Linked DNA regions of Danio rerio. The main gene of each other region encodes a partner of the protein of the gene in region 4 in a complex. Links are inferred from orthologs where the notes say so. Each region holds a gene or a part of one and is shown on either strand. Other genes may lie near its edges. The genes, in order: ppil2, rbm48, sf3b5, eftud2, crnkl1, rbmx2 and cwc22.

Region 1 (4,673 bases), on a different chromosome or scaffold from region 4:
AAAAGAAAAACAATAAGTGTTCAAATTTATTACGGCACTTTGTAAAACACACAACAATCTATTTAGTTTAAATTTATATTTCACTCATTCATTCATTTTCTTTTCGGCCAAGTCCCTTTATTAATCTGGGGTCGCCCACAGGAGAACATGCAAACTCCCAGAGAAATGCCAACTGACCCAGCAAAGGCTTGAACCAGCAACCTTCTTGCTGTAAGGCAATTGTGCTACCCACTGCACCACCGTGACGCCAAATTTATATTCATTTCTATGTAAAACTTATGTAGATAATGCTTACAACCACACTAATAATGTGAGAATGTGATTGGCCAAGGACAGAATAGAAGTCAAGACAACTAACCTATATTCTAACCTATAAGTATACAGATATCTGTTTTCCATAGGTGCGTCCCAAATCGCATACTTACGCACTATTCTACGCCATTTTGTAGTATAAATAGTGCAAGTAGTGTGTTCACACTGAAAACTCTATAAATAATAAGTGCATTTTAATACCAGGATGATGCACTCGTTCAACTATTACAATGAAGTGTGGAATGTTGGACACTTCACGCACTCAACAATCTCAGATTTGCTCACATAGCGGAAGGAGCATTGGTATAGGGTGCACATGTTGGATTACTTTATTTATTTTGAATTGTGAAAGCAAAATTATCCTACAAGAGTGATTATAGCGCCTCCCGAAGGTGAATGCGGTTATCCTTGCATATATTATCTGGTCCTTTGGTCATTTATTTTACTAATATGGCAACCATCAAACGTCATCAGGGAAATGGTTTGAATTTCCGTTTAGCAAAATAACAGTTAGTGTTCCATTTGGGACGACAATACATACATATACTATGCTGTTGAGTGTGTTAGTGCAGGGGTTCCCAAACTTTTCAGCCCGCGACCCCCAAAATGAGAATGCCAGTGACTCGTGACCCCCAATATTCTCTGAGGTGGTGGTTATAAATACAGAAACCTTGTATGCAATGACGCACACACACCAATAGACCCAAGTCTATTCTTTGTTTTTTTTATGTATGTCAGTGCTGTAAATGGGTTAGAAAGTTTAACCTGGTGTTCCAAAATCTGCTGCATCTGACAGTATTGCTGTGTCTTTAGTATAATGTAATTACTCAAGAAGACGCAATCCAATAGAACTAGTAACTATAAGCTACTATAGTAACTATATAGTTTATAGTAACTATAAACAACTATTTTTTTCTCATCAGTAGGTTATTGATAAAATACAGTTAGTCTTAAGGTTTAATAAAAATTAATTGATTTTTGAAAATCAACAGGCAACCCCCATTCATTGTCCCGCGACCCCTCGGGGGGTCCCGACCCCCACTTTGAGAACCTCTGTGTTAGTGCATAAGTACATAGTGCTTAATGTATAGCGTGCCATTTGGGACGCAGCTCATGACTTTTACAAAACTTTGTGGGTTTTCCTTTTTTTCCAGGCCTGGAAAATGTCAAGTCAAAATTCAATGATTTTTCTAGGTTTTCCATGACCGTATGAACCCTGTACAGTGCTCAGCATAAATGAGTATAACCTCCTTTTGAAAATGTATATTTTTATCCACGTCTTAGAAAATACAGCCAATAATCTTGGTGCATTTAAACAAAATATTTTTATCCATTAAAATAAAAGTTTGGATACCTAGTGCCTTTAACAATAAAAAGATAATATATTTAAATTCAAACAAGTTATTGCAATATATATATATTTATACAACAGTTGTCTGGTTCTTGAATCTGATTGGCTAATAGCCGTGATATATTTAAGTAATTTCAGCACCAGTAAAGCCTCTTTACCTCTTTTTTTTGTGTATTACTCCGCCCACATACAACCAGCAAAAAAGCAGACACTACAGATCTAAAGTTTAAAAGATGCTTGCTCAGCTGTTTAGCTATCAGCTTATGATTTGAATCCAAGGTGGAAGAAAGTAGTTCCTCATACAAAAGGGTTTTTGAGAATCTCCATGTTTGATTTTGTTTTTATATACACAATTATGCCGTTAAACTGTTGTATAAACGCAATATCACACTCGTAGCAGTGCGATATGGCTGTATATCGGCACTGGCGGGGGCACTAAGGCACTCGGCCTCATGCCAACGCACATCTCCCACCAGATATACAGCCATATCACACTGCTATATATATATATATATATATATATATATATATATATATATATATATATATATATATATATATATATATATATATAGACCCACTAGAAAAATGACAACTGTTTTGTGTTTTATTATTTTTTTATTGAATAATTTTCCCAAACATAATTGTTACTGACTATATGCATAAATATATTTACGCTAAATGATATAACACTATTTCTATTTCACCAATATGTGAAATTATATTCAAATAGACACTTTTCTTGCATTTCAAATGTTTTCTATGTAACTTATAAGTTATATTTAATTTGATAAAGAAACAAAAATGGTACGTCCTACAGTCCCAAAAGCTTGACATGACTTGAAGTAACGTTACATCAGGTTAACGCAAATACCTGCTTTCTTCCCTCCATAAAACTGGGTGTATTCTGTAGATGTAATGTACCTGAAAAACAGAGTATTGAATAAATCATTTGAAAGCTGTATAAAGAGTATAACGTCGTCATTTACATATTTGCATTCTTTAGATAATTCATGTTACGTCGCTGAATCTAATACATGAACATTAATCAAAATGCCGTCGTTGCAGCTGAATGAAGAACGACTTACTGTCCCAAAATTAAAATTAAAACATTACAAACCCTAAATAATACAAACAACGCAAACAGTTAAAGAAGCGTACTCAGTTTTCAGTGAAATAATAAAATTCAACCGTTAGCAAACGTGTCATATTTCACTCCAGCAACTCACATCTTGTCTTTTTGATGCTGTCTTTTCCCCATTTTTGCGACCTAAGCGGTGGTGCTAAATAAAAGAATTAAAATTCAGGAGTTTATAAACAAGCAACACAAACGCACGACTGTTTAAATACTCTACTTCCGGTGTGTCCTAGGCGCGACCGGTAAATGCAACCGACCTAAAACAACAAAATGTTTTTTGGTCCTCTTCGGTTTTGACTGAGATACTGTTCATAAAATTCGTTTTTTAATTACTGTAAATTATGTCTATGCTCAACTTGGGATGTCTGAATAATACTCAATAATGAGGGGGATATTTAAAGTGTTTGATGTTTGTTGATCACAAAATAAAAAAAACATGAAACCTATGAATTCATTCATTCATTCATTTTCTTTTCGGCTTAACTTAGTCCCTTTATTAATCAGGGGTCACCACAACGGAATGACCCGCTAACTTAACCAGCATATGTTTACGTATGTTGTATCCTTTCAGCTGCAACCCAGTACTGGCAAACATCCATACACACTCATTCACACACACTCACACTGCGGCCAATTTAGTTTATTCAATTCACCTATAGCTATGTCTTTGGACTGTGGGGGAAACCGGAGCACCTGGAGGAAACCCACACCAACATGAGGAGTACATGCAAATGCCACAAACGTCAACTCGAACCAGCGACCCTTTTGCTGTGATGCAACAGAGCTACCAACTGCGCCACCGCGCGGCCTACATATAAACTAATTCATTTCATCTATCCCGTGAAACAAGTTGTTAAAAACGTTTTAGACATGCAATCTGCATGTTCTTTTTGTGAATTAGAGGAATTGCTGAAACACCTGAATACTCATTGAATGCACATATTCCCAAATGTTTTGGTTTGATGTTAAATATGTTATATTTAAACGTACAAAATTAAAAATGCAGTTTTCTTGTAAAGATGTTTTTGACATACAATAATAATAATAAAACTTTGGAGCAAATTTTGTTTATTAATTTAATGATTATACAGTGCTCAACATATAGGCTACACCCCTCACAAATCACTCTATTAAATTCATATTTTTAATAGGAAGCTATATAATATTATATTTGTGCATATACATTAGATTAGTCAGTACTGAAGCCAAATCTGGAGCTTATCTAAATAACTTATGATGACGGTCAAAAAACCGAGTACAGTCAAATGTATATGTTAGAGAAAAATATTAAATATAAGTTTAAAAAAGAGGAAAAATCAAGAGAAGCAAAAAAATAAAATGAAAAATTTAGTTGAAATTTTGTAAGTTGTACATTTTTCACAATATTTTGCTTGAATTTAATTGTATTATTTTTCAATTTTTAAATATGTTTGGTGACCAAAATATTTTTTTAATAAATATATCTGTTTAATAACTCTGTTTTGTTTAAATGCACCAACATACATTTCCTATATTCACTAAGAAATGGAGAAAAATATTCATTTTCAAAATGGGGTGTACTCTATTATGCACAAACAAAAGTGGTCCATTGATAAACCTAACATTTATTTGTTTAAAATTCATCTTACGCATTATTTTGAAAACCTAAAATACTTTAATAATTAAAAAAACTATAAGGATGTATGCAATTTTGGAATCAATTTCCTATACAAATTTATTGTAATTTATATGTTCCCTATATATTTTTTTTATTTATTTAATTTTTATTCTCTATTGATTTGTTCATTTGATGTAAAAAAAATTGAAGTACTGTCCCAGCAAGCATTTTTTGTTTTTAACAGATGCCTAATAGAAGTCTAAAGTTATCTTTAA
Region 2 (4,661 bases), on a different chromosome or scaffold from region 4:
AGTAAAGCGCTAAGAATACTTTCCTGATGCACTGTAATAGGTGAATCTTAAAATTGGGTTAACAATCCCAATATTGTTGAAAGTAATAAGAAAACTAACCTTGGTCATGGTGTTACGGATCAAATTGGCGGTAACATTTAACGAAGAATCTTCCATGTCCAACTTGGGCAGCTCTGGTAATTTTGGACCAATCAGAACCCCCGTTTTATCTGCTTCTTTCAAAAAGAAGGTTTGTTCATCTAGTTTCCTTTTTCTGCTCTCTAAATGTGTAGTCCTTGGCATAAATCTAATAGACGGAGTGGAAATCTTCTGTTTTTGCCTCAAATCTCCCTCTTTAACACCTGAAGATGAGGAAGACTCACTCTGCGTTGAGGTTTTTTGTACAGGAGGGATGAAATTATGCAGAGAGCCCATTTTATCCTCTGTCGTTTCATTGGTCCACTGTAATTGTGATGGCTGGGTAAAATGATTTTGAAGTCTATAAGAAATATCTGCTGTTGGAGGCAAAGGCAACAGAGGAAATCCCATATAGTCAGAATTTACGTTCTCCCTTCTGGCTTCTTCAGGGTTTTTCTGCATTTTAGGAGCTTCAGCTGTTCGTGTGTCTGTGCTTGATGATGACTCTGTGTTTACTTCCGCTTGCTGACTGTGTAGTTGTGCTGAAAACAAAATAAGCATATGATAGTTGTTAGACTTTCTACACATGCAATTTATTTAGAGAGAATACCAATGCATTACCATACCTGCATTTCGGCTTGCCCAGTTAACATATCTCCTTCTGTCTTGTAATTTCTGCTTTGTTTCCTCCACGGTTTCATACTCAGGAGCATAGCAGACATGCAGCTGACCCCCGAAGAAGCTCTTTTCATCTGTGTGCCTTTTAGCTGCCCTGTAAAAAAATAAATTAATTAATTAATTTAAAAAAAAAAAAAAATTATATATATATATATATATATATATATATATATATATATATATATATATATATATATATATATATATATATATATATAGCATGGCAATATCCACTCACTGGCCATTTTGCTAGGTACACCTGTCCAACTGCTCGTAAACACCAATTTCTATGCAGCCAATTACATGAAAGCAACTCAATTCATTTATGCATGTACATGGTCGAGACAATCTGCTCCAGTTCAAACATGAAAGCATGGATCCATCCTATCTGCTCAATGACATGCTATCATGTCAATATGGACCAAAATTAATGAGGAATATTTCCAGCTCCTTGTTAAATCCATGCCAGAAAGGATAAAAGCAGTTCTGAGGTCAAACCCGGTACTAGTAAGGTGTACCTAATAAAGTGGCCGGTGAGTGGATGTCATTCAGTGTAACAATAGTTTATAAGAAAAACAATTTTTGTCAGGCATATTTTTAAAAATCCCAGTACAGCTATTTTTACTTTGACACTATCCTAAAAATATATAGTTTTATTAAAATATAATTAAAATAACTACGATTACTTAATTCCATATATTTGAAATAATTATTCTTTGATTTTTGCTTTGGTTTAGAGGGGAAAAAATATGTAAAAAAGTATTTATAGAATTATCAGCAATAAATACTCTTTATAATATTCTTAAAATGTTTAATGGCAGTAAAGAGATTTACAGTGTTATTAAAGAGAAAGAGACACTAAAGAACATTAAAGAATCTTGAACAAAAAAAAAAAAAACCCTTAGATGTTTTGGATGTTAAGTTGTGCAACTTTACAACATTGATAATAATTAGAAATTATATACTGCACAACAAATCAGCAAATTAATTATTTCCGAAGAGTCATGTGACAATAACCATGTATAAATGCGAGTACCAAGCATGAAAATTACCCTTCATCCTCAACACAATACATTACACTTTTAAACAAGATAGAAAATGTGACAATGTAATAATACATCCGATTGTTGATGCTTTGTTTTTAGTTAAAAAAATATTAGCTGACTTGGTGAGCATAAGATGCTTCTTTCAAAATCATTTTCAAAATGGAAGACTCCAAACAATTGTATGGTAGTGTGTGTACTGTATATAGTTTTCTATATGTGTTTATTTAATATTTTAATAATGAATCATAATGTTTTAAGTCACATTTTGTGGAACCTACAAAGACAGTTCACTCCAAAATAAAAATAGACATCATTTACTCACCCGTTACATGTCACAAACATCGTCTGAGCTGAACACAAACGATATTTTAAAGAAAGCTTGAAGCCGGTAACCATTGACTTCAATACTATTTATTTGTCCTACTATGCAAGTTGATGGTTACTGGATTCCAGATTTCAAAATATCTTCCTTTGTGTTTCAAACCACTTGAGGGTGAATAAATTGTTATTGTTACAGTATTTGAGTCAACTATCCCTTTAACTAAAAGTGAATGCGACTCTGCAGTGCACCAACATGGTACATTGAGGTAAGGATGGTTTTAGATTCACACATTCTTTCAATGACAACTTGTGACATGCTCCCTATATTGTTTACCATGGTACTTTTAATATTGGGTTTGAAATCACATGCAAGTATGACTTCAAATCAGCATTACCACTATTTATTTGACTGTGAACAATGTTGAACTTTGATAGTCACTAGCTGCTAATTTGATTCACTATTAAGAATATGCAAAGAATACTTTTCTGAAATTATATCATCAACAAGAAAAATATGGCACAATATATAATATATGGCACAGACTCGCATGGGACATGATTTAATCAGCCTTTTCTTACCGTGCACTCGTCAACTTCTGGAACTGAATTAAGTAAACCTCAGTGAACTCTTCTGCTGGGTATTCATCCAGTGGCCTGTACTCCTCGATCACTCCATACAGAGCAAACAGCTGCACCAGCTCAGCCATCACTCCAATAGCGGGCACTCCTTGAACTAGTAAATACCGAGACTCCAGGTTGATGGTGTACACCTAAAATTAGCGATTCAGCCATTATTTTTATAAGCAGAGATTCAGTTCTTGTGAGAGAGACCTTAAAGACAACATGACTGCTTACATTGACGCTGCACAATTCGATGAGATAAAGGCATTTATAAAATAAACCGACCTTAACAGCTTTGAGGCGTCTTCCTTCTCTGTATTTTGGTCGCGTTTGGGCAACATTTTGCTGCTCGTGATGTTTATACACTTTTTGTGTGTCCCACACAGAGGAACTAGCAACTGACCCGTCCATCACTGTGGAAATCAGCGACGAAAAAAAACAGGCTTTCAAAATAAAAGTTCCAATTAGAAAAAATAAATAAAAGCCCGCTTTCCCAAAAGGATGCTAATAAAAATAATATTAAGAAGAATAATGATGATGGTGATAAAAAAATATTATAATGATAATGACGATGATAATTATAATAATAATTCATTTACACATCCAAATTATGATAAACACTTCTAACAAAATAAAATAAATATCAAAAAGATTTGGACAAAAGTCAAAATTGTAAGATGCTAACTCGCAGAAAATGTCGCAACTATTATAAATGCAGACGAATTAATTATAAACTATATTATAAATTTATTTTAAGTTTTTAACGTTTAAAACAAGCTTCTTTTTTTACCCATTTAAAGGGTTAGTTCACTCAAAACCGAAAATTCTGTCATTATTTACTAGGTTGTTGACTTGTTCCAAACCATTTTGATTTACTTTCTTCTTAACACAAATTAGGATTTTTAAAAATACATATAATACAAAACTTCCATATAATTATTTTCAGCATTCTTCAAAACATCTCTTGTGTTCAGCAGAATAAAGAAACTCAGAAAAGCTTGGAACCACCTGAACCTCTGAGTAAATAGTGAGCCCATTTGATTTTTTGGGGTGAACTCAATATATTACTATAAATTACTAGTAGGCCTATTTAATGTGGGAGATCATTATAAAAATTATTAGAAAATTAAGCAAATATATACTATTCAGTTGCTGGAGTAAAAGATTAACAGTGTTTTACATTTATTAAATGTAAAAAGATTTGTACATTACATTGATATAATGATGTAGGCTATTAGCCTATCCTGTACATTAGCTATATTTCATTCATTATGCATCCATTAAATAAATTAAACCTGTCCAAATTAGATCGTTTAAAATGTTTGAGCAAACGAGAATCTGCTATGTTGACTTTGTCAGATAAATAATGACTGATCATCTATGATGACTGATGGAAAACTGTTCAGTGTATTATATTGAATGGTGATTATTCCCCATTCGCCCGTCTTGATCGCTATATTTGTGAAATGGTATGCCTATGCATTATTGTTTACAGTGTTTGCCTATACAATACATATTAACAATAACCTTATGTGTAAAATATATTGATGATGTCCGAGAAGAGGTTAATAACATTAACACCCGTCTAACTTAGATCGTGTGTGCCTGAAACGTGTGTATATCTGCAGCTGGATAAGTTTTAACCCCAAAACACACACATATTAAATAAATGAATAACGTATACATACATTTTGCGGGGCTACTCATATTTCATTTAATAAATATTAATACTAACACACGGACATGTTTGCACAGTATTGCTACAAGATCATTACTGTAGTTGTAATTAAAACCCGGCTAATGACCAATCAGCAGCAAGGACTGGACATATCCGTTTTATAAAATGGTTTTATCATAGGCTGCTATTTCATAAGGTAT
Region 3 (4,533 bases), on a different chromosome or scaffold from region 4:
ACTTAAATGAAAAACATCAGAACTTTAAGAAAGCCGCAAGTCCTAAAGCTAACCAGTCAGCTTCACACAAAGCACACGCATGTTACTTCAGGTCAGAATAACAGCAGGCATAAAATGAGTGCCATAGAGCAGCAGTGAAGAGATTGTAAATAAAAAGGATGTAAGGATGTCGCTAGAGAGTCTTTCTGGTTTCTTTTCTTGTGCATCTCAGCCACTAGCTCCCCATGTGAAAGATTTTTTTTAGCTTAGTGGGTAATGAAGTCATTCAACCTCACAATTTTGTAACATGTATTTGAATAATGATGGTCGGTTTCTTTACTTGAAAGCTCAGATTTGATTATCATAATTTGTTTTGTTGACAGAGTTTAAGGTATGAATAATGATACAGTAAACCTCAAAGTTTGCTTTAATTGTTCAGCGTTTACTCTTTGCCATTGTGTACACTTTTTAACATTTTATTTATCAAGTTTAGGAGTTTCTTTACCACTTATATTTATATAATAAAGAGATCAGATAGTCTGTTTAAATATTTTGTTCTTGACTATTAAAACTATTTGCCTCAGTAATGTTGGTAAATTAAAATAAAGTGGTTAAATAAAACAAATCCTAATATTCACAAATGTACTGTTAAAAATATTCAATAGTTATCTATATCGAACTATATAAAACCTGATATTGTGATCCTTTTTTTGCAATATTGCCCAGGCCTATGTTGAGCTTGGATTATAACTCATCCTTTTAAGTGTTTTTTAAGGGTCTGTGAGAGTTTTAAAAGCGTGCAGGCCTCAGAAATTGAACTGTTTTTAACTTTGACAAATTCTATTGAATTGGTTCTAATACGAAGACTATGCAGTATTATTTTACATTTTAATTACTGTATACCTGATCACAGTTTGACTCCTGGAACAACAATAAAACGCTGTTTATATAATTCCATTTTTTTTGTTAATTGTAGATCGTTTATATTTTATGCATATGCACTCCCCTACAATCATCCTAATCAATCTAACTCACTATGTTAAATTTTTCCAATATCATGCAGCCCTATGACACTGTATCAGACATACTAATGTGCTTGTAAAATAATAAAAATAATCAAATCATTATTATTTTACAAACACATTGGTATGTCTGATTCAAAAATAGGAAGAATTTTGTGTTTTAGCCATTGTAAACGTCTAAATATCCTTATTTTGTTGTTCTCCAAAAACTACTATTACGGTATAGTAATATTTAGGGCCTTTTATGATCCGTTTTAGGAGACAGGTTTGTTTTAATGTAGCGCAATAAGTAAATCAATAAAATTAACAAATTTAAAAATAAACTATAAATGCATTATGTTTCAAACTAGAATACAGATCTGATCAATAGCATAGAACAAAAATAAATAACTTATTTTTCCAGTGTTTGCATAACAGTATGCAAGTATGCAGTATTCTACAAGTACTACATATCTTTATCTACACATAGACTGCATTCCATTTGAATTCTTGCTTCGTAAAGCGCTATACGGTTTAGTCTCAAAGACGCATTGGGATATAAATGCAGATTCAAATCCAGATTGATAAAATTGACCAAAGAAGTCAAATGTGGATCATTTAGCATGTTGTTGTAGCTCAGAGGTATTGCACATTTACAAAGCCAGGGTTTCTGCAGGTTTCACCAGGTCTAATTTAAAACTTTTAAAGACCTTTTTAAGACCATCAAGAATGAGATTTCAGACACATATAGGTATAAACGCAATAGGTTTTTTTTTTAATGGCCCTGCAGGAAAAATAAAATTATATATATTTTAAATAATGTGTCAAATAAAGCAGACCCTAGTTGTATATATGCATTTTTTTCAACATAACTTAAAAAAAATAACTGTTAAAAAATTTAATAAACTATTGTATGCACAACACGATGTTATAATATTGCTTATAAATAGAGCTTTGCTAAAAGTTTAATTGAGATGTATTGTTAATGATTGGGTGTGTGTTGGGTTGATTGGGTAACCTTTGATACAAAAAAGGAAAATTAAAGACCGTTTTAAAATTATTGAGGCTTACCTACAATACCATATTTAAATAAATTTAAGACTTTTTAAGGTCTACAATTGTGTTTTGGAAATATAAGACTTTTTAAGATAGAGGTAAAGTTGGTTTTATATTCAAACATTTGTTAGAGGTAAAGTTGGTTTTATATTCACACATTTGTTCATTTAGATGTGTCTATAATGTTTACCATGTTACTTTCAATATTCGATCGGAATTAGCATGCAAGTGTGACTTGAAAACAACATTAACACTGTTTATTTGACAGGGAACAATGTTGTACTTTGAAAGTCATTGGCTGCTAATACGATTTCGCCATTTAGAGTTTGCAAATAATACTGTTATGAAACTGTATTATTAAGGGGAAAGTCAGAATGTGCTAATATAAAACTAACTTTAACGTTACCTCTATCTTTTTAGGTCTCCGCGGGCACCCTGAAAGCACGCTTGACTTAACGCAGTATGACTAAATGCGTGCGTTATTCAAAATTATGAACATTTAAAAATATGAAAAGAAAAAAATAACTTATTTCATAAATTAAAACAAAGACCAATCATCATAACGTAAGCTAACGTTGCGCTGTGAACAAACTAACTTAGGTATGCGAATGTGGCAAAATTACATTACTTCAAAGAATGCAATTATTTTTCTCCTTCGGCTAAAACTAGTGGTGGGTATTTCTGTAAATATTATCGGTATGCTTACCTATAATGAAAAACTGTGATGTTTTATGGAAAAACGAATGAATGATTCCCCCAGCAGTTATTGTACACAATGGCTGTGCGAGGTGACTTCAACCGGACCGGAAATAGTTACTCTGAAATCTGTATGTGTGGAAAATATCACTGCAGTCAAGAGTTCCGCTCTGGTGGAAAGCGCTGCTCATGCTGCTGGGCCTTATTATTGTGATAACGACTTCTTATCCTCCGTATTACATATACCTTAAATGTGGGATGTGTGGAGGTGGAATATTGATTCTAGCTTACATTATATTAGCTTACGTGACTATCATAAATACTGCTCTAGGAAATTTCAGAGGTTTGGAAAAACAGTCAGCTTAGCAACAGCTTGAACATTTCACTGATAATAATAGAAGATAAATGTGTAATAAAATAATGTTATGTAAAATCTCTAGGTTATATAATGTAATTACATACATTGTAAAAATCCTCCATAATAGGTTTCTTGCATTACCCAAAGAGCACCAGGGCTTCTGACTGACTTGATATTGTTGCTTAGCCTACGATCAGCAGTCTAAATGAAATTTTAATGTTATTATTAATTTAATGTTAATAATAATATTAATGTTATCAAGAGAAGTTCCTAATTCAACTCTATGTCTGACTGAATTATATTATGCCAAAAAATCCACTAGTTGTCACAAAGTCAATCAACAGCACTTCTTCAACATTTCTTCTACCATTGATTCATAAACAAAGAAATCCCTCCTGCCATGTGAACTGTTTTTGGTGGAAATTTGCAAGGTAACCTTATTTTTTTCTCGACATATTACATTCTAAAAACTTTACAAAGTTATGTTACTTGCACATGACCACAAGGTATTATTATATATCATATATGATGACTAAAAAATTATTTCCAGGACATTTTTGTTCACTGTTCTGTTCTTGCTGGTTGAATCCATTTCCAAGCCTTGAATCTTGAATCCCTGTCAATATCTGAGAGACAGCTGAAAAATACTGTGTTCCATCAACACTTAATTGCAATCAATCAACCAATCAATCAATCAATCAATCAATCAATCAATCAATCAATCAATCAATCAATCAATCAATCAATCAATTTTCTCTTTACATAATTTCTCTATTCTTGCTTTTATTATTGTTAATAATGCTTAATTATAATTTTACATCACTTTTTCACATAGATGGATACGTGACTGCATGGGCATTGCGAGTGTTCGTGTCCATAGAAATGTATTATCCTCCCTACCTGTTAAATTTGATCTAATCCATGTCCTGAAACACACTTCATCGTCCACTTCCACTTCTAATGCCAACTAAGGGAGCAATTCGTTTGTGAATGCATCTCTGTTGTGAACAATTTGTGTGAACTATTGATATACCTGCTTTAATGTGCATAATATCCACCTTTCTGATCTAAATGGTATAAAATTTGTAATATTCAATAATTCTGGGTGGACAGTATTCAAATTAATGTCCAGATACTGTAATGGTATCAGGCACCCTTATAAGTTATTTAAAAAACTAGCATTTACTTCACTTAGCCAACAATAATACAAGTTTCTTGTACATCAGCATCTTGTTGTCCTGTTTCATCTACATTGTTTGCTTATTTTATTCAACAAAACTAGCATAAGCCTATAGCATTTAGAGCACGTAGGTGCTAATTTGCCTAAGACGGCAGTAAGAGATTGTATTATCATCAATACTTGTTTAGCACAAACGTTCTTAACATACAAAAACAGAAAAAAAAAATCTTACCTATGAAATGTTCTGCCTTTGTGCTTTGTTT
Region 4 (4,070 bases):
ATACACACACACACACACACATATATACATACATATCTATATATATATATATATATATATATATATATATATATATATATACATATATATATACATACATACATACATACATACATACATACATACATGCATACATACATATATATATATATATATATATATATATATATATATATATATATATATAAGAAAACATGTTAAATGAGAATCTGAAATATTTTTTGGCATACTTCAAAAAATAAAGATGATATAGTATTCAAAAACAATTTATTTTGAATATTTTTTTTAAATAAATATGTCTTACACTTCATATTTTCAGATTTTTCATTGGATATGTATTAATTCCGGTAATTTTTCCATAAACGGACACATCAACCTCTACCAAATGGTTGATATTTTGTCGCATGTTGAAAAAAAATTCATTGGATGTGTTGACTAGTGACATTATGAGTTAAGAAATGCTATCCATAGTATTTTTTTCTTGGTGGAGCAGTTAAAGGGTTAATATACCATATTCCTAAATTATACGTATATTAATATACAGAACTCATTTAAATGAGGACAAAAGTAGCAGGTCAAATCGCCAGGGCTCTGATTTATCAAATTTGCATAGACAAGTTCTTAGTAAGGAACATACATCAGAATAAAGTAATTTATTTATTGATGATTAGCTCATTTAAAGTGGTTTAAATCAATATTTAAATTAAATATGTTTGCTTAGAGATTAATTACAGCTGTGGACACTCTCCTCTCAAGCTTATAGATCACAACCTTTGAGTGGCTAACGCATATTTCTGCCCATTTTGTGCATATGCCATGTTCATCAATGAGACCCCAGAAGAGCAGTTACACATAAAGCCTAATTACACAATTAGGATCAAAGCCTAAAAGGGGTCATTTCAAAAAGTTATGAAGCGTTATTTGTGGAATATTTTTTTTTATAATTATTACGTTTTTTTTCTATGTTTTGGGGGGAGGGGAGCACTGGGAGCAGAGAGAGGGGAAGTATGGGCATAGGACCTCAAGCCGGGAATCGAACTCGGGTCGCCCTGAGCACTATGGTGCTATATGTCAGAGACTTATTTTACATCTAGTAAAAATGAGCATAATAGGCCCCCTTTAAATTGTTCAGCTGAAGCGTGTAGAGTCAGTGGTTGTTTTTATGCAAAAATCAGCTCCTTGAATTTGATGTACATTTTCTTAAAACAGGCGGATGAGGAGGATGACGATGATGACCAGGCTGAGGCTGATGAGGATGGAGGAGGTGGTGGTATGGAGGTGGTTCTGCATGAGGATAAAAAGTATTATCCCACTGCTGAAGAAGTGTATGGTCCTGAGGTGGAAACTATTGTTCAAGAAGAAGATACACAGCCGCTGACAGGTAACAGACACGCTGGTGGAAGAACAGTTTGTTTATCGCATGCACACTCAGTGGAAAATCAATGTATCTGACTTAATTGTTCCTCAGAGCCCATTATAAAACCTGTGAGGATGAAGCAGTTTACTCTGATGGAGCAGGAGCTTCCAGCGACCGTCTATGACATGGAGTGAGTTTATGATTGGGTTTTTTCCCCTCTTTGTTTGAATTGCATAAGCTTACATGCATATATCTTTTGATAGATTCCTTGCTGATCTTATGGACAGCTCAGAACTGATCAGAAATGTCACACTGTGTGGACACTTACACCACGGCAAGGTAAAAGACTTCATTATGCTGATTCAGTTTTTTAGATGATGTCTAATTAATTAAGGAGCATCATGTGGGGGTTTTCAGAAGTTGTATGTGTTCAGTTCAGTAGTCATTTTGAAAGCATTTAAAAATGCTTTTGTTTGTCCCTACAGACATGTTTTGTAGACTGCCTCATTGAACAGACTCATCCTGAAATCCGTAAGAGAGATGACGAAGATGTAAGTGTATAGATAAGTATTTGCATTTTGTTTCGATATATATAAATTTTTCTTTGTGAAGGAAAAATACATGCATACATTTAGACCGGATGGATGGATGGATGGATGGATGGATGGATGGATGGATGGATGGATGGATGGATGGATGGATGGATGGATGGATAGATAGATAGATAGATAGATAGATAGATAGATAGATAGATAGATAGATAGATAGATAGATAGATAGATAGATAGATAGATAGATAGATAGATAGATAGATAGATAGATAGATAGATAGTTAAAAGTAATCAAACTAAGAACATCAAGCATAATCTTTTCTTTACTTTAAACAATGATGGAAGTATACTTGACTCATCTTCTTTTTATCATCTTTTGCCTATTCCGGAGTCAAGTATATAAAACAAAAACAACTCCTAATAAAAGTAATATTGTAGTAGTTTATGTACAGTGGTGTGAAAAAGTGTTTGCCCCTTACTAATTTTTTATTATTTTGCATGTTTGTCACACTTTATTATTAAAATAAAGTATATATTTGTCAGAGAAACACAATTAAACACTTCATGTAGTTATTATTAAAGGGGAAACAAAAAACAAAACAGTGTTTATATATACACTGTATGTGCATTCTTCCGCACACCTGTAGTTTCATATAAATTTAAAACATGAGTTATTACTCATTTATAGCAACATTTTGCACTGAGGCGTTCTTTGTTTGTTCAGCTTTACAGTCATGTGGTGATGTATTAAAATATTGGTGTTTTCTTCTTTCCACAGTTACGATACACAGATATCCTTTTCACTGAGCAAGAGGTAAACTGAAATAGGATATTGATTAAACATTTCTCTCTCAGTGATGTTATTTAAAGTTTTTTTTTTTGCTTTTTGATAGAGAGGGGTTGGCATCAAGAGTACTCCTGTAACCATGGTGCTGCCGGACTCACGGGGCAAATCCTACCTCTTCAACATCATGGACACGCCAGGTACTTTCCTGCCCTATAAAATCACTTACAGATGCACACTAAATACATTTGTGCACCGGCATGTAAGAACAGGTGATTTTATCTCTCATACTTCTTTCTCGTACTTCACATTCTTTAGGTCATGTGAATTTCTCTGATGAAGTGACATCTGCAGTTAGACTATCTGACGGGATTGTGCTTTTTATTGATGCTGCTGAGGGGGTGAGTTCACACACACACACACATAAATATTGCCTATGTGCTTTTTCACACACATGCATATTGCTTTTCGCTTCAAGACTGTAAGTACTATGTTGTTGTCATTAAAATACACTGATAAATAAATCTTAGTCACTGAATAGTTTGTATATTAAACTATCTGTGTTATGCAAGACTAATCTTTCTTTAGCATGCCTTTAACTGTTTGTTTGGATATGTTCAGGTAATGCTGAACACTGAGCGACTGATCAAGCATGCAGTGCAGGAGAGATTGGCCATCACTATCTGTATTAATAAAATAGATCGTCTGATTGTGGAGCTCAAACTGCCCCCTACTGATGCCTACTACAAATTGCGCCACATTGTGGATGAGGTCAACGGCTTGCTGAGGTACCCCACAGTACTTGAAATTAATTGTTTTGGTTGATCGAGCATGCTGATGGTACTATTTGTGTTTCACCTGCTTACGTTTGAAGCAATAGCTGTGAGATCTGTTGTTTTTAGTTAGCAGTTTTGTCTGACTGTGTTTGTTTTTCTCATTGGCAGCACATATTCTACAGATGAGTCTCTGATTGTGTCGCCTCTGTTGGGGAACGTCTGTTTCGCTTCCTCGCAGTACTGCATTTGCTTTACTCTCGGCTCCTTCGCCAAAATCTATTCAGACACCTACGGTGAGATCATTTTTTTAATTTAATGATCAGCACTCTAATAAAAAAAATATTATGCAAACATGTAAAATGAATAATGTAGTTTTTAGATGACTTAATACATCTAATTCTTAAACTTGTAAATATGCACTGAAATTAAAGTTTTTGGCAGAAAGCTAAAATTCTGGACACACGATCAAAAACTGATTTTGTAAGACTTTTAATTGGATCCAATTACTTAAATTATACAGATTTTTAAAAAATGCAAGACTAATAAAATAACCAAATTATTTACAGTGAATTTTATTTTACCATTGTATGCCATGAAAGCAC
Region 5 (4,732 bases), on a different chromosome or scaffold from region 4:
GCAGCCATATGGTTATCGGCCGATAAATGCTATTTTTAAGATTATCGTTATCGATCCGATGTCTAAATTAGGCCGATAAATTACGTTTAGTTCAACTCACAGCGGTTTATCATAAACTTTTCATGATCATTTTTCCCGCAATTGACAGCAAGAACGAACACAGAAGCATTGTCTGATTGACAAGCACTACAGCTATACGTGTTCAAAAGAATCTAAAACGCTAAATAGGATGAATCTATGCCGCATTTTCTAAAGTAATACAACCTGTACTCAACTTTTTGCTTGTACGGTAACTCTGAACTGTCAAAACACCCTTAGAAAAGTTTTTTTTTTTTTCGAACATTACATATTTGTACATATGTACATCAATGTAACACGTTTTATTCAAGAACAATTGAGCTGGTTTCAGTTGTTAGCTCTTTCATTTTCATCTTATTTAAATATATTTAACTTGCTTGTTGATTAAATCCTGTTTTGTTATTTAACCTATTATTTTTATGCAACAGTGAAGTTGCATGTTAATTTGCTATGAAGAAAAGGAAATAATTAATTTTCTTGCATGCTGATTTATGTGAAATCGTGAATATAGGTCTATATAACCACCTTGCAATTTTGAAATTATAGCTTTTTTGGTTTGAGTAGACTTTTCAGTTCATAAGAGCAGTTCAATCTTTTATTAAGTTTAAAAATATAACATTTTTAAACATTTATAATTATCGACCTATATATATCGACTATCAGCCTCCAAGTCTGAAGAGTTATTAGTTATCGATATACACTAAAAAACCCATATCGGTGCACCCCTAATTATATACCACTGACAGTGGCATTTTAACTTTAAGATATTAATATAATTTTATTCTTTTTGACACATAATATACTGATGACATATTTTCTGCAGATGCACTATGTATATGAAGCTTTTAAAGTATGTATCACAATAATACCATGTGTTATTGAGTTTAGTACATGTATACTAGGAGTTTTATAGAAACGAACATCAAATGCGAAACATCAAATTGACAAAACCTTTACACTGGTAACATCATGTTGTGACCAGATGTACCTTGTTGACATAGCATATTCAAAGCATGAACATTAGGGGTGCAAGATATTGAAAAATAAATCAAACATTGACATATTTTGTTTTTCTGTGATAAATAATGCAAAATGAATATAGGTCCATCAGATGCCTTAACTCTATTTGGGAAGTGTTTATTAATTCAGACTGATTGCAATAAAGGATTGAATCATGCATAAAAAAATAACAAAAAATTACAAGTATTGTTACTTTATGAATTTGTCAAACAGCAAACAGGTACAGGAATTGCAAAAAAATCAAATGTAAATAAAACACTGCATCTTCTTTATTGTAAAAATTATTTTAAAAATGTATCTTTATTAAAGGTACAAATGGTCTAATTTCTTGTGCCTGTGTAACAGGGTTAAAATAATGTTTAATTGTCTTTCACCAAAATGGGTTATTTTGTTTATTTTGTGGCTGTTGAGAGACCTCTTGTGGCAACAGTGTGTAATTGTTTCTTTCACCTTTCACCTGCAAAACCCCGCCTACAGCAGAAAATGGTTGCAGAATGCAGAAAGGCGGTAGGTAAAATGTGCTCCAGCTAAATGTGACAAATTTTGTATTTTAACACATATTAATAACACATACAAGCCCAATATGAACATTAAGTGATGTTTTAGATCAAATCTGTCGAGTGATTGCCGTGTGTGACAAACTTTGTGTGGTTTAATTTGCTCATGCTAGGTGTAGCTGGAATGATGACATTAATATGTGCAAGGGTGATTTCTTACTATTTGTTTGGTTTTTTTAGATGCATGTTTAAATGCATACTGTTGCCAGATGATGTATATTTCTGTTACAGGTATGTTAACCTTTTGTAAATAAATAATGTTTTGTTAAAATGACTTTGTGGCAACACAGCAGAAAATGGTTGCTGAATGCAGAAAGGCGATGCATGTTTAAATGCATACTGTTGCCAGAGGATGTATATTTCTGTTACAGAATAAACAACGCAGAACGCAGTTCTCTGTGTCCGCCTGAGTGATTTGCGTCTTCAGGAAGAGAAGCGTTACACCTGGATGCTTTATACGTTCTTGAAATGTTCATACAGCGGCAGTCCATAAAACACAGGCAGACTTCCACTTTATATACATATATAAACTGTCTTCTGGTCAACTATAAACCCAACAAGACATTGCATATCCTCTGAGTTTTCTGAATATGCACTGTGATAATGCCCATGTTTTCTAGAGGTTTACCATAATAAAATAATACATTTAAACCATAGCGATATCATCTTTTATAATCTACACACCATATCAATACCATATTTTCTGAACATCATGATAGCACTGCGCACATTCTATAAGCAATTGTGACACTACTGTATATTTTTGAGGCATATGCCATGACAGAACCAAGCTTTCAGTACATGCACAGTAATTTAGTACTACTTTATGACATATGCATATAGTGACACCATGGTATACTACATGGTGATACAACATTTCATACCTTTCTCTTTTTCAGTTTGTAGTCATTGAGCTCTTCTTTATCGGTGATCTTCTGTTTGGGTGGCGGTGGCAGCAGCTCGAGCTCTCTCTCTTTGGCCTCTCTGAGCAGCTGCTCGGCGGTGATCTGCACCTCTGCAGGGGCTTTATTCTTCACCTGAACACAAACACAAAACCATTACAAAACAAGACAATCTTTAACCCATCTGGTTATAGTTCTATACATTATACAGTTGTTATTTTCAGAGTGGCACAAGTTCACGTTGTTTACAAGCTAATGCTAACTCACAGCTTTATTCTTCACATGAGCATTAATACAAAACCATTACAAAGCAAGACAACCTTTAACTCAACTGATTACATGTATACACATTATACATCAGTTAACTAATTATAAAGTAACGTTAGCAGAACTACATGTTGTTTACATGCTAATGCTAACTTACAGGGGTTTATTCTTCACCTGAACACAAACACAAATACATTATAAAAAAATAAGCTTAACTCCACTAACCACATTTATATACAGTAGTTAATTATTAAGTAACGTCAGCACGACTTCACGTTGTTTACATGCTAATGCTAACTCACAAAAACATCATATAGGTTTTACCTTCGCCACTTTCGGGATTCTCTGTTTGCCCGCCGCGGTGGACGCCATGATTATTACGCTCCTGACACTTTATTAAAAATAAATTAGACGTATGTTCTTGTGTTTTAGATTTCGAAAGCCCGCTAAAACCTGTAAGGTTAGCGACGTTTCAGTGCCGTGTGTGTCGCGCCTGCCGTGACGCGCTGTGACCTTTGCCTGCATCTACGTCACGGAGCATCTCACCATGGTGACAGGACGCTTGCTAGCGGTTAACGTTATCAATAAATAAAAGGTCAGCAGTTTGAGGCTGTTAAAACTCAGTTTTTTATTGTTATACACCAAAAATACCTGTTTAATTGTTTTATGTTGCTTGTGTATCGACTTTTTGTCAATGTAAGTGAATGCTTGTTGTTTTAAAATATTTTTGCCTATTATTGGCTAGTGACTGAGTTCAAAACTCAACATTTTACATTAATAACGTTAACTTACCTCAATTAAATACCTTAAACGTTTGTTATTTATTTGTTTACTGTTAGATCTGTTTATTGTTAAACCGAATTTTCTTCAATGTGTGTGAATGTTTATTTGTTTTTATAAAGGTTAGTGACGAGGCTCAAAGTAAAGTTACATGTAACGTTATGTTATTTAACTTTATTCGCTCACTGTTAGATTTTTTTATAGTCCGACCTATCTTTAATGTAAGTGAATGTCCATTTTTATTAATTTGTTAATTATGTATTGCTTGTTATTGTGTATGAAATAACCGTAAAGAGTTGTTATTTATTTGTTTACCAAAATAAGTCTGTGCGTGCACACAGACGAAAAACATATAACGTACAATTGAAGTCAGAATTATTAGCCCCCTTTGATTTTTTTTCTTTTTTAAATATTTCCCAAATGATGTTTAACAGAGCAAGGAAATTTTCACATTATGTCTGATAATATTTTGTCTTCTGGAAAAAGTCTTATTTGTTTTATTTTGGCTAGAATAAAAGCAGTTTTTATAAAATAAATAAAAAAATAAAATAAAATTTAAGGTCAATATTATTAGCCCCATGAAGCTATATTTTTGTCTACAGATCATTACACAATAACTTGCCTAATTACCCTGACCTGCCTAGTTAACCTAATTAACCTAATTAAGTCTTTAAATGTCACTTTAAGCTGTATAGTAGTATCTTGAAAATTATCTAATAAAATATTATTTACCTGTCATCATGATTAATTAAATAAATCAGTTATTAGAAATGAGTTAGCAAAAACTATTATGTTTAGAAATGTGTTGAAAAGAAATCTGCTCTCCGTTAAACAGAAATTAGGGAAAAAATAAACAAGGGGGCTAATAATTCAACTGACTTCAACTGTATATTACGTCTACAGTTGTGCTCGAATGTTTACATACCACTTATATAATCTGTTAAATGTGAATAATTTTAACAAAAGTAGCAACATAATACAAAATACATGGTAATTTGTAATAAGTATTGTACCATACACTCCTCAAAAATCTTTATTTTATATTCATGTTTTTAATAGGAAGCTGCAGTATTATATTTGTGCAAATACATTAGTCAGTACTGAAGCCAAATCTGGAGCTTATCAAAC
Region 6 (3,689 bases), on a different chromosome or scaffold from region 4:
GGTTGACAGTGTCAAAAGCAGCTGACAAGTCCAGCAAAAAAATTTATTGTGCTAATTTCTCTGTGTTCATGTATTCAAAGCAGATTTATGTATTACAGCTTTGGTAACACTTATCACACAAAAAGGTTGTATTAGTTATGTAAACAATTCTGTTTATAATTTTAGTGGACAGAATGTCAAAGCGCAGTCTTGGAATGGAGGGGGTCTGGTTCAGGGACTATAGTTATTTGCAGACGTTGTTGTTGTTCTGTTGGCCTCATCGAACATGAACCTTCAGCATGCACTGGGGCGGTTTGCTGCCGAGTGTGACTCGGCTGGGATAAGAATCAGCACCTCCAATTCCGAGGCCTTTGTGCTTCACCGGAAAAAGGTGGTTTGCCATCTCCAGGGTGGAGAAAAGTCCTTAGGAGTTTAAGTATCTCAGGGTTTTGTTTACAAGTGAGGGAAGGATGGAACGTGAGATTGACAGGCGGATCAGTGCAGCGGCAACAGTAATGCGCTCGATGTATCGGTCCATTGTGGTAAAGGAGGAACTGAGCCGAAAGTCAAAGCTCTCGATTTACCGGTAAATCTATGTTCCTACTCTCACCTATGTTTATAAGATTTAGGTCGTGACTAAAAGGATAAGATCTCGGATACAAGCGGCCGAAATAAGTTTTCTTCACAGGGTGGCAGGGCTCACCCTTATAGATAAGGTGAGGAGCTCTTTCACCCGAGAGGAGCTTGGAGTAGAGCCGCTGCTCCTCCACATTTGTAGGTGTTTAACTGAATTGCTTTAATGCATTCCTGCTTTGTGCTCACATATACACTTTAGTCTTAATAGTACATAACCAGGGTGGGCGTTTTTCTGCTTTCTCGAATTGAACGCAGTAAACCAATCACAACAGACGAGTCTTCTCACCTTTTTTAGGCTTCTTCACAGGTACAGCGTACTCTTCCGCAGACTCTTCCTCAGAGGATGAAACTGGTTTAGGAGCACATCCCTCCTCGCGTAATTGTTTAGTGATGTCATCAATGTCATCAGTGTCCTTCGGTGGTCGATAATTCGCTACGTGGTCCACACGTATGGTCCGGCCCTTAATCTTAACAGTAGATAAAACAAATAGCAAATACATAAGGCAATGACATGATGATATTATTTCCTAGATGTATTATAAAAATAAACTAAATATATGATAAACATGTTTTTAATATCTGAATTACAATTCATTTGTATTTTTAAATCGTATTATGCATTTTACATGTAAAACTAAGAAATAAATTAAGAGACCACTTGGAAAGTCTCTGTTTCTCTGAACTTAGAAAATATTTATGTGTTCGAGTTTTAGTTTTGCTCTGCAAAAAACAGGTGACATTCTTCTCAATTTAAAATAAATTTGTCATTTAGAGCTTAAAAGGACAATTGGAAAAAAAAAGCTGCCATGTTTTAGGCATTTTTCTGGTCATTTTTATTTAGACAACACACAAAATATCAATGCTTAACTGCAAAGGAGTTAAGAAAGCCATATTTGGTGCAATAACCCTGATTTTGAAAACAATGAAAACATTTATTTTGTCAATTTAAAAAACTCTAAATTATTTTATATTCGAAAGAAATGTTATTAGACTAGAGAGTGGGGCGGGGGTGAGAGCGTGAGAGATGAGAAGCAGCACCTGTTGCCGCACTGGTTTTGAGTCCCACAGAGGAGCTCTTGATAATAAAAGGAGAAGAGAGGACCAGGCCTGGACACTTTGGGCCCTATCATATGCAAAGCAATTGTTGTTTGCTAGTTTCAGCTCGACACGAGTCGTTTCGACGTTTTGCACCACGGTGTTTAAATAGCAAATGCATTTGCGCTCATATGTGCGCCCATAGGTGTTCAGGTCTAAAAAAGGAGGCATGTTGAGGTGCATTGCTGGCGCGTTGCTATTTTGAGGAACTTAAATAGAAGGTTCAAATGGATCAGATCAAAGCTGGTCTATTTTCCAGCGCAGAGCGCATTAGTTGTGCGCCTCGCTTACACATTTCTTAATACACAGAGTATGTACAGCAATACGCAAATATCTTCACAAATAAAAAAAATAAAGGATTAAAATATTACAAAAATTATTATTTTCTAGCCTACATAAATATAAAAAACATACTTTCATTCTTCTTTATCTCGGGGGCTTTTTCAGTTTATTCATAACAATTTGCTTTTGTATAATGTTATTATTAATAGTAGTAGTATTTATTATATGCATATTTAAATTTGTTTTACTAAAAACAAGCTTAGATTTGTTCACCTGTCAGGTTTTAGACCATATTGGGCACAGCATGTGTATTTGGATATAACTCAGTTTTTTGACCACACTTTATTATTACTGTTCATTTATTCGTTTGCTGGAAATTAGAATTGAATTTAGAAGTAGTTTTGAAACAACTCTTTGTGCTTAACAAACAAAATTAATTATGTATAGGGCAATGGAAATCTGTGCGTACAACATTTTTCCCTATCCATGAGAGTGAAAGAGAAAGTAAACAATGAGGAGGCTCATCTCTCATTCTGGCGCTGTAGATGCTCTGTTTAACTGTTTTCTTTCTAGTGAAGCCTTCAGTTTTTCCACTTACAAAGTCCGCCATTAGGGGTGATTTTAGGATTTTCATTTTAGGGGGGCTTACCTCCTTATATGGTGAAAAAAAAATCTATTATAAATATAAATATTATAAATATAATATAAAGCCTAATATTACATTCATAAGTAGTAATTTAATAGTGTCTAATATGGGTTGTATACTAGTATTCCATAGACAGGCATAGCCATTTGAGTTCTGAATAAGGCAAATAGGCTCAACCCACCTGTTCACTGTAGTAAAAAGCACTTTCTATAGTCAAGTGCATTTTTTGTTTCCAGGTATTAAATAAATAAACTGCCACTTTTTTATTGAACTGACACACACACACACACACACATGTGTATATATATGTGTGTGTGTGTGTGTGTGTGTGTGTGTGTGTGTATATATGTATATGTGAAAAGTTTAGATGCAAAAAGCCATTTGATATTTTCTTCTAAAATGAGTGATAAAATAGTGACGAATAAGTTATTTTCATTGACTTTGAAGTTAAATATATGAACATAAACATAGGAAGCTGAGATAAATGCTCATTTTAGGAGAACGTTTCAGATGGCACTTAGAGGTTTTTGCATCTGAACTCTTCTGCATCTGAATAAAATACAATTCAGGTTGAAAAAGACCACATCACTAAAAAGACACTAGAAAAGCGTTTCACCTTGATTCCGTTAAAGTTATCGACAGCCAGAATAGTGCTCCTCTGATCTTCATAGCACAGGAAACAGAATCCTTTGGATTTGCCAGTCTTTTTATCTCGAACCAAGTTGATGTTGGCAATCTCTCCATACCTGACATTCACAGAGGAGGATTAAGCTTTACTAGCAAAGAAAATAAATACTGACGTCTTTAGCACAAAAAGACATGTTTAAAATGAACACTCTGGCTTACTGAGAGAAAACACAGATGATGTCTCCTTCTGTCAGCTCATATGGAAATCCACCTGCAGATTGATATTAATATACATATTTACATTACTTAAAATAAATACACACACACACACGCACGCACACGCACGCACACATATATATATATATACATATTTATATAAATATATATATACACAAACACACACACACACACACACACACACACA
Region 7 (4,070 bases), on a different chromosome or scaffold from region 4:
GTTTTTTATTAATTCGACAGCTGAGAATAGGGAAGAATACAGTGTGCGGCGCTGAAGACTTTTCGTTGCTTTTGTTTCAATATGCTTTCTAGCCAGGTAAAAGTTACTCTTAAATTGTTTTGTTATATTTCTTTCTTTTGTTTGGCTTCACTAGCGTCCCTTTCCTCCGGAGTTGGCCTAATATGTTTGTTTGGTACTTTCTTTTTGAATTTGCCACTTTATTAATTTTTTCATTATTGTAAATATTTCATGTTGTTCATATATTTGGACATTTGTATATTTTTCACATTTGTAAATTAAATAATTTTGTTGGCATTTCCGTAGTTTGTCTTTTTAATTCCATTATCACATAGTAAATTGCCAGCGCTTAAATGTTTTACCTTTTACCTTAGAATAACATCAAAGAGGTTGTAACATAAAAGTTAATTGTACTTGATATAAGACAGTGAAATTTACTAGTGCAAAATGTTATGAAGGTTTTATTAAGTAAATCTTAAGAGTAATTTTTTTTCAGTGAGTAGATATTAATAAACATGAGTGTGTAGAACTGGTAAGTAAAGTGAAACCAACCTGCTCTTGTCAGTGATCTGAGCCTGCATCATCCGCAGTTTGGCCGGTGGGATATAGGCCCCACCGGTGCGGGTTAGGATGGGGTCCAGCGTTTCCTTCCTCTTCTTCACTGGAGGCTCCTCAGTGGGAGGTTTATCATTTTTGTCTGGAGAGGCTGACCTTCCCCTCCTCCTGTGTTCCCAATCCCTCTCTCTGCTGGAGCGCCGCTCGTAACGCTCCCGATCACCATAACGGTCCCGCTCTCGCTCCCTGGACCTGATGCAAGGACAATAGAGAACAAAAAAATGCCAGAATGGAAATTTGCAAGTCAGGGAACTATAGTTATATGGGTTTATTTTAATAGTTATTAAATTACAAAATTTTAAAAACAGTCAAAAGGACTGCCTTGGTAGTTCTAGTGCAGAAGTGCCCAAACTTTTACTTATAAAAAAAACAAAAAAACAAATTTGATTGAGGGCTGTGGGCCGAAGGTAAATATAGCAAACTGTATTACATTAAAGTTGCTACAAGTAATTTCCTAATTTATTTTGCTAATATTAAAAAAATAAATAAATAGAAAACACTGCTTTATTTAAACTAATGTAGTATAATTTATAAAATAATACATATAATGAACATTTTACAGCAAAAACAATCATTTATTTACACAATAGAGTTTAATGCTGAATACACAAGTCAAGCTTTTGCACTGATTTGTTTGCAATGTTTTGTGCATTGTCCTCTATCCATCGAGTATTTAAACAGTATTTAGTTACATGTTTTAAAAATCTGATTCATTTACAACATTTAATTGAAACATTTAATTTCAGTTTGCTTTGTTGTAGCTGAACATTTGAAAAAAAAAAAAGATTACGTTTAATTCAAAATGATGATCTCTGTTAAAAGCAATCTCCCCAACATTCTCCTCTTCTCAGATGGGATGGTGGGCCAAATCAAAGGGCCAACTTTGGCCTGCGGGCTCTAGTTTGGGCATATCTGTTCTAGTTCAGTTCCCTTTCACACTGAAAAAGAAAATAATTCAAGCACCGCATTTCGCTTGCTAGTATACATGTATGTAATATCAAAGTTCCTTTAAGGCAAGTCATTTCACTCGGTAGCCTTCTTTAAAACTTTTGAAATTCTCCAAAACTGTTTAGCGAAGCTTCTGTCTCATAAATTTAGCTTCTAAATCATTGGTTCCCAAAGTGGGGATCAGGACCCCCTGGTGGGTCGATGAACAATGACAGGGGCCGCTTGGTGTTTTCTAAATGTCAAATTAATTTTAATAAACTATTAGAATTTCGATATTTCATCCATAACACACAGAAAATAAAAATAGTAATTTATAGTTACATAAAAACAACAACATGCGAATAAAAAACCGTCAGCCTTTCAGTTATTTTTTTTCATAGTATTGTTGTGTTTAATTTAACAACACAGCAATAGTGTCAGCTGCAGCAGATTGATTTTATACAGGGTTCTTACAATTTTTTCTAACTTCAAATTCCAGCACTTTTCAAGCACTTTCAAGGTGCATTTGTATGCTTTTCCTAATAACCATGGTAAAATATGTTTATATACGCTGTATGTACTTTTTTACATTTAAATCCATTGTGCTATTTTTAAAAACACAATATGACATTTCAACTTAAACTATTGAATACTTTGGAGCATAGATTTATTGGGATAATTCACCCAAAAAATGGTTAATATATATATTAACTCTTTCTATCAAAAGTTGATATCTCAAAAAATGAGCTTACAGTCAGATTTTTTTTGGGTGTAGTAACAAGTTGACATGTTTGTTTAAAACTATTCCTGAGTGCTTCGTTTGGCGTTTCTCTGCATGAATGTCTACTAAATACGCGCATGCTGTGAACATTTTGCAGTGAAAACTGGTCGCACTGCAACAATTTTATACACTCACACAAATGTTCCAAAATATATTTGGACCTTGCATAGATAATATTTCAGGTGCATATGCAATCAAAATGGACACAATTTTGAGCCCTGCAATTTTAAATTCAAGCAGGTTCAAGCACTTTGTCCAAAATTCAAGCACTTTTCTTACCTGAAAACACTATATTAAAAATCAAGCATTTTCCAGGATTTCCAGCACCCGTACAAACCCTGTTTATAGCACCAGGTTAAACGTTGACACCTTTATGGAAATCAAATACATTAAAAATAAATACAGGCCACAACTTAACTATTTGAATGATCTCTGATTGGTGGTCTTTAAAATTAAACCAAGAATAGACTTGTGCAGAAAACATTGTGCCCAGTGGTCTCAATAGTTGAGGTTAATATTAAATTAAACAAATAGCAATATAATAGAATTAGGCATAATAGATGACTATAAAAATTTGATGATTGTTATAATGTTGCACTTTTTTTGTTGTCTATATGCTTGAATTTATATAGGCCTACTGCTGTGTGCGCAATGTTTGTATATGTATATTTCACACCTATATTTTTACAGGAATTTGGGGGTCACGATTCACTGCCATTGTTACTTTGAGGGTAGGGGGATGAAAAGTTTGGAAACCTCTGTTTTAAATGAATCAGATGGATAGTCCAGAAAAATACAAAAAAAATGATGGCAGCTAATCTGTCTGGGACATCTGAATTGCACATATTTCCACTTACCTACGAGCCCTTCTATAACGTTCACGAGGAGAGCGAGATCTGGAGCGAGATCTGGAGCGGGATCTTGAGCGGGATCTTGATTTTGACTTCTTTTCATGCCTGTAGTGGAGACAGATGACATTTTTGTTAAAAAAAGTCTTATTTCTGCATTGATTTTGCTAAGTCGATGCTAATAAGATTTACCGGTCAGGTGAGGAGCTTCTTTCTCTGTTTTTGGTCTCTTCATCAGAGGTACGCTGAAATGGACACAAGAGCATAAGAAAAACAAAGCCATAACTCAAGCACTAGGTTTGTTGACTAGCTGTGTGTCAACAGTGTTTGTTTTATTCATGATAATAAACAGCATTTCATAAGACCTGTGTGAGAGTTTCTTGGCAATGGCATGAATCAAATTCAAGTTTAAACACATTTTTGTGAGATCTACGCATTTAAAGTACAGAATTCTAAACCGTTTTCATTATTGATCATCAATGGCCAAATAAATTAAACAATCTATAAATCAATACAGTTGGTTTATTAAGAGACAGAAAACAAGTAATGATATTTCACAATATTCTGCATGAATTTATTGTATGATTCATTCACTTACATTCCATATAACATATAAATCATTTTTTTTGTCAGTACACATTTATTTATGTATTTTTTTTTGTGTGTAAAAAAATATATAATTTTTCACAGTACTGAACATTTTACTAATTACTTTTATTCAGATGATTATTTCTTCAATTTATTTTTAATAAAAACTTAAATTTGAAGTTCTGTTTGTTAAAACCAAGTGTCTTGCAGTACTGTTTTTGTAATAAATGGAAAGCAAATTACATTTGTTTCCTCCCCTTTTTGGCTGATCCGAAAAAAGGTCAGATTAGTGA

The links.
Region 1: eftud2 (region 4) and ppil2 share a complex: the UniProt entries of both Homo sapiens proteins name them as parts of the minor spliceosome. The link is inferred for Danio rerio from reciprocal best matches to the Homo sapiens genes EFTUD2 and PPIL2.
Region 2: eftud2 (region 4) and rbm48 share a complex: the UniProt entries of both Homo sapiens proteins name them as parts of the minor spliceosome. The link is inferred for Danio rerio from reciprocal best matches to the Homo sapiens genes EFTUD2 and RBM48.
Region 3: eftud2 (region 4) and sf3b5 share a complex: the UniProt entries of both Homo sapiens proteins name them as parts of the minor spliceosome. The link is inferred for Danio rerio from reciprocal best matches to the Homo sapiens genes EFTUD2 and SF3B5.
Region 5: eftud2 (region 4) and crnkl1 share a complex: the UniProt entries of both Homo sapiens proteins name them as parts of the minor spliceosome. The link is inferred for Danio rerio from reciprocal best matches to the Homo sapiens genes EFTUD2 and CRNKL1.
Region 6: eftud2 (region 4) and rbmx2 share a complex: the UniProt entries of both Homo sapiens proteins name them as parts of the minor spliceosome. The link is inferred for Danio rerio from reciprocal best matches to the Homo sapiens genes EFTUD2 and RBMX2.
Region 7: eftud2 (region 4) and cwc22 share a complex: the UniProt entries of both Homo sapiens proteins name them as parts of the minor spliceosome. The link is inferred for Danio rerio from reciprocal best matches to the Homo sapiens genes EFTUD2 and CWC22.

Annotation. Positions count from the first base shown.
Region 1 is NC_133180.1:13,584,422-13,589,094, reverse strand, and holds the start of ppil2 (RING-type E3 ubiquitin-protein ligase PPIL2), read right to left. Parts: upstream 3,033-4,673; 5' UTR 2,925-3,032; coding exon 2,893-2,924; intron 2,588-2,892; coding exon 2,538-2,587; intron 1-2,537. UniProt on the Homo sapiens protein: Has a ubiquitin-protein ligase activity acting as an E3 ubiquitin protein ligase or as an ubiquitin-ubiquitin ligase promoting elongation of ubiquitin chains on substrates.
Region 2 is NC_133194.1:42,804,484-42,809,144, reverse strand, and holds the start of rbm48 (RNA-binding protein 48), read right to left. Parts: upstream 3,272-4,661; 5' UTR 3,195-3,271; coding exon 3,069-3,194; intron 2,933-3,068; coding exon 2,742-2,932; intron 890-2,741; coding exon 744-889; intron 660-743; coding exon 100-659; intron 1-99. UniProt on the Homo sapiens protein: As a component of the minor spliceosome, involved in the splicing of U12-type introns in pre-mRNAs.
Region 3 is NC_133188.1:27,081,788-27,086,320, reverse strand, and holds the start of sf3b5 (splicing factor 3B subunit 5), read right to left. Parts: upstream 2,919-4,533; 5' UTR 2,743-2,918; intron 1-2,742. UniProt on the Homo sapiens protein: Component of the 17S U2 SnRNP complex of the spliceosome, a large ribonucleoprotein complex that removes introns from transcribed pre-mRNAs.
Region 4 is NC_133178.1:15,080,003-15,084,072, reverse strand, and holds part of eftud2 (116 kDa U5 small nuclear ribonucleoprotein component), read left to right. Parts: intron 1-1,209; coding exon 1,210-1,381; intron 1,382-1,468; coding exon 1,469-1,547; intron 1,548-1,620; coding exon 1,621-1,696; intron 1,697-1,842; coding exon 1,843-1,908; intron 1,909-2,686; coding exon 2,687-2,722; intron 2,723-2,801; coding exon 2,802-2,892; intron 2,893-3,010; coding exon 3,011-3,093; intron 3,094-3,313; coding exon 3,314-3,480; intron 3,481-3,636; coding exon 3,637-3,761; intron 3,762-4,070. UniProt on the Homo sapiens protein: Required for pre-mRNA splicing as component of the spliceosome, including pre-catalytic, catalytic and post-catalytic spliceosomal complexes. Component of the U5 snRNP and the U4/U6-U5 tri-snRNP complex, a building block of the spliceosome.
Region 5 is NC_133195.1:52,274,890-52,279,621, reverse strand, and holds the start of crnkl1 (crooked neck-like protein 1), read right to left. Parts: upstream 3,248-4,732; 5' UTR 3,197-3,247; coding exon 3,149-3,196; exon of another isoform or gene 2,693-3,148; coding exon 2,540-2,692; exon of another isoform or gene 1,836-2,539; intron 1,606-1,835; exon of another isoform or gene 1,574-1,605; intron 1-1,573. UniProt on the Homo sapiens protein: Involved in pre-mRNA splicing process. As a component of the minor spliceosome, involved in the splicing of U12-type introns in pre-mRNAs.
Region 6 is NC_133196.1:41,946,898-41,950,586, reverse strand, and holds part of rbmx2 (RNA-binding motif protein, X-linked 2), read right to left. Parts: intron 3,537-3,689; coding exon 3,485-3,536; intron 3,385-3,484; coding exon 3,255-3,384; intron 1,083-3,254; coding exon 902-1,082; intron 1-901. UniProt on the Homo sapiens protein: Involved in pre-mRNA splicing as component of the activated spliceosome. As a component of the minor spliceosome, involved in the splicing of U12-type introns in pre-mRNAs.
Region 7 is NC_133184.1:45,363,894-45,367,963, forward strand, and holds part of cwc22 (pre-mRNA-splicing factor CWC22 homolog), read right to left. Parts: intron 3,642-4,070; exon of another isoform or gene 3,456-3,641; coding exon of another isoform or gene 3,435-3,455; coding exon 3,382-3,434; intron 3,298-3,381; coding exon 3,199-3,297; intron 826-3,198; coding exon 571-825; intron 1-570. UniProt on the Homo sapiens protein: Required for pre-mRNA splicing as component of the spliceosome. As a component of the minor spliceosome, involved in the splicing of U12-type introns in pre-mRNAs. Promotes exon-junction complex (EJC) assembly.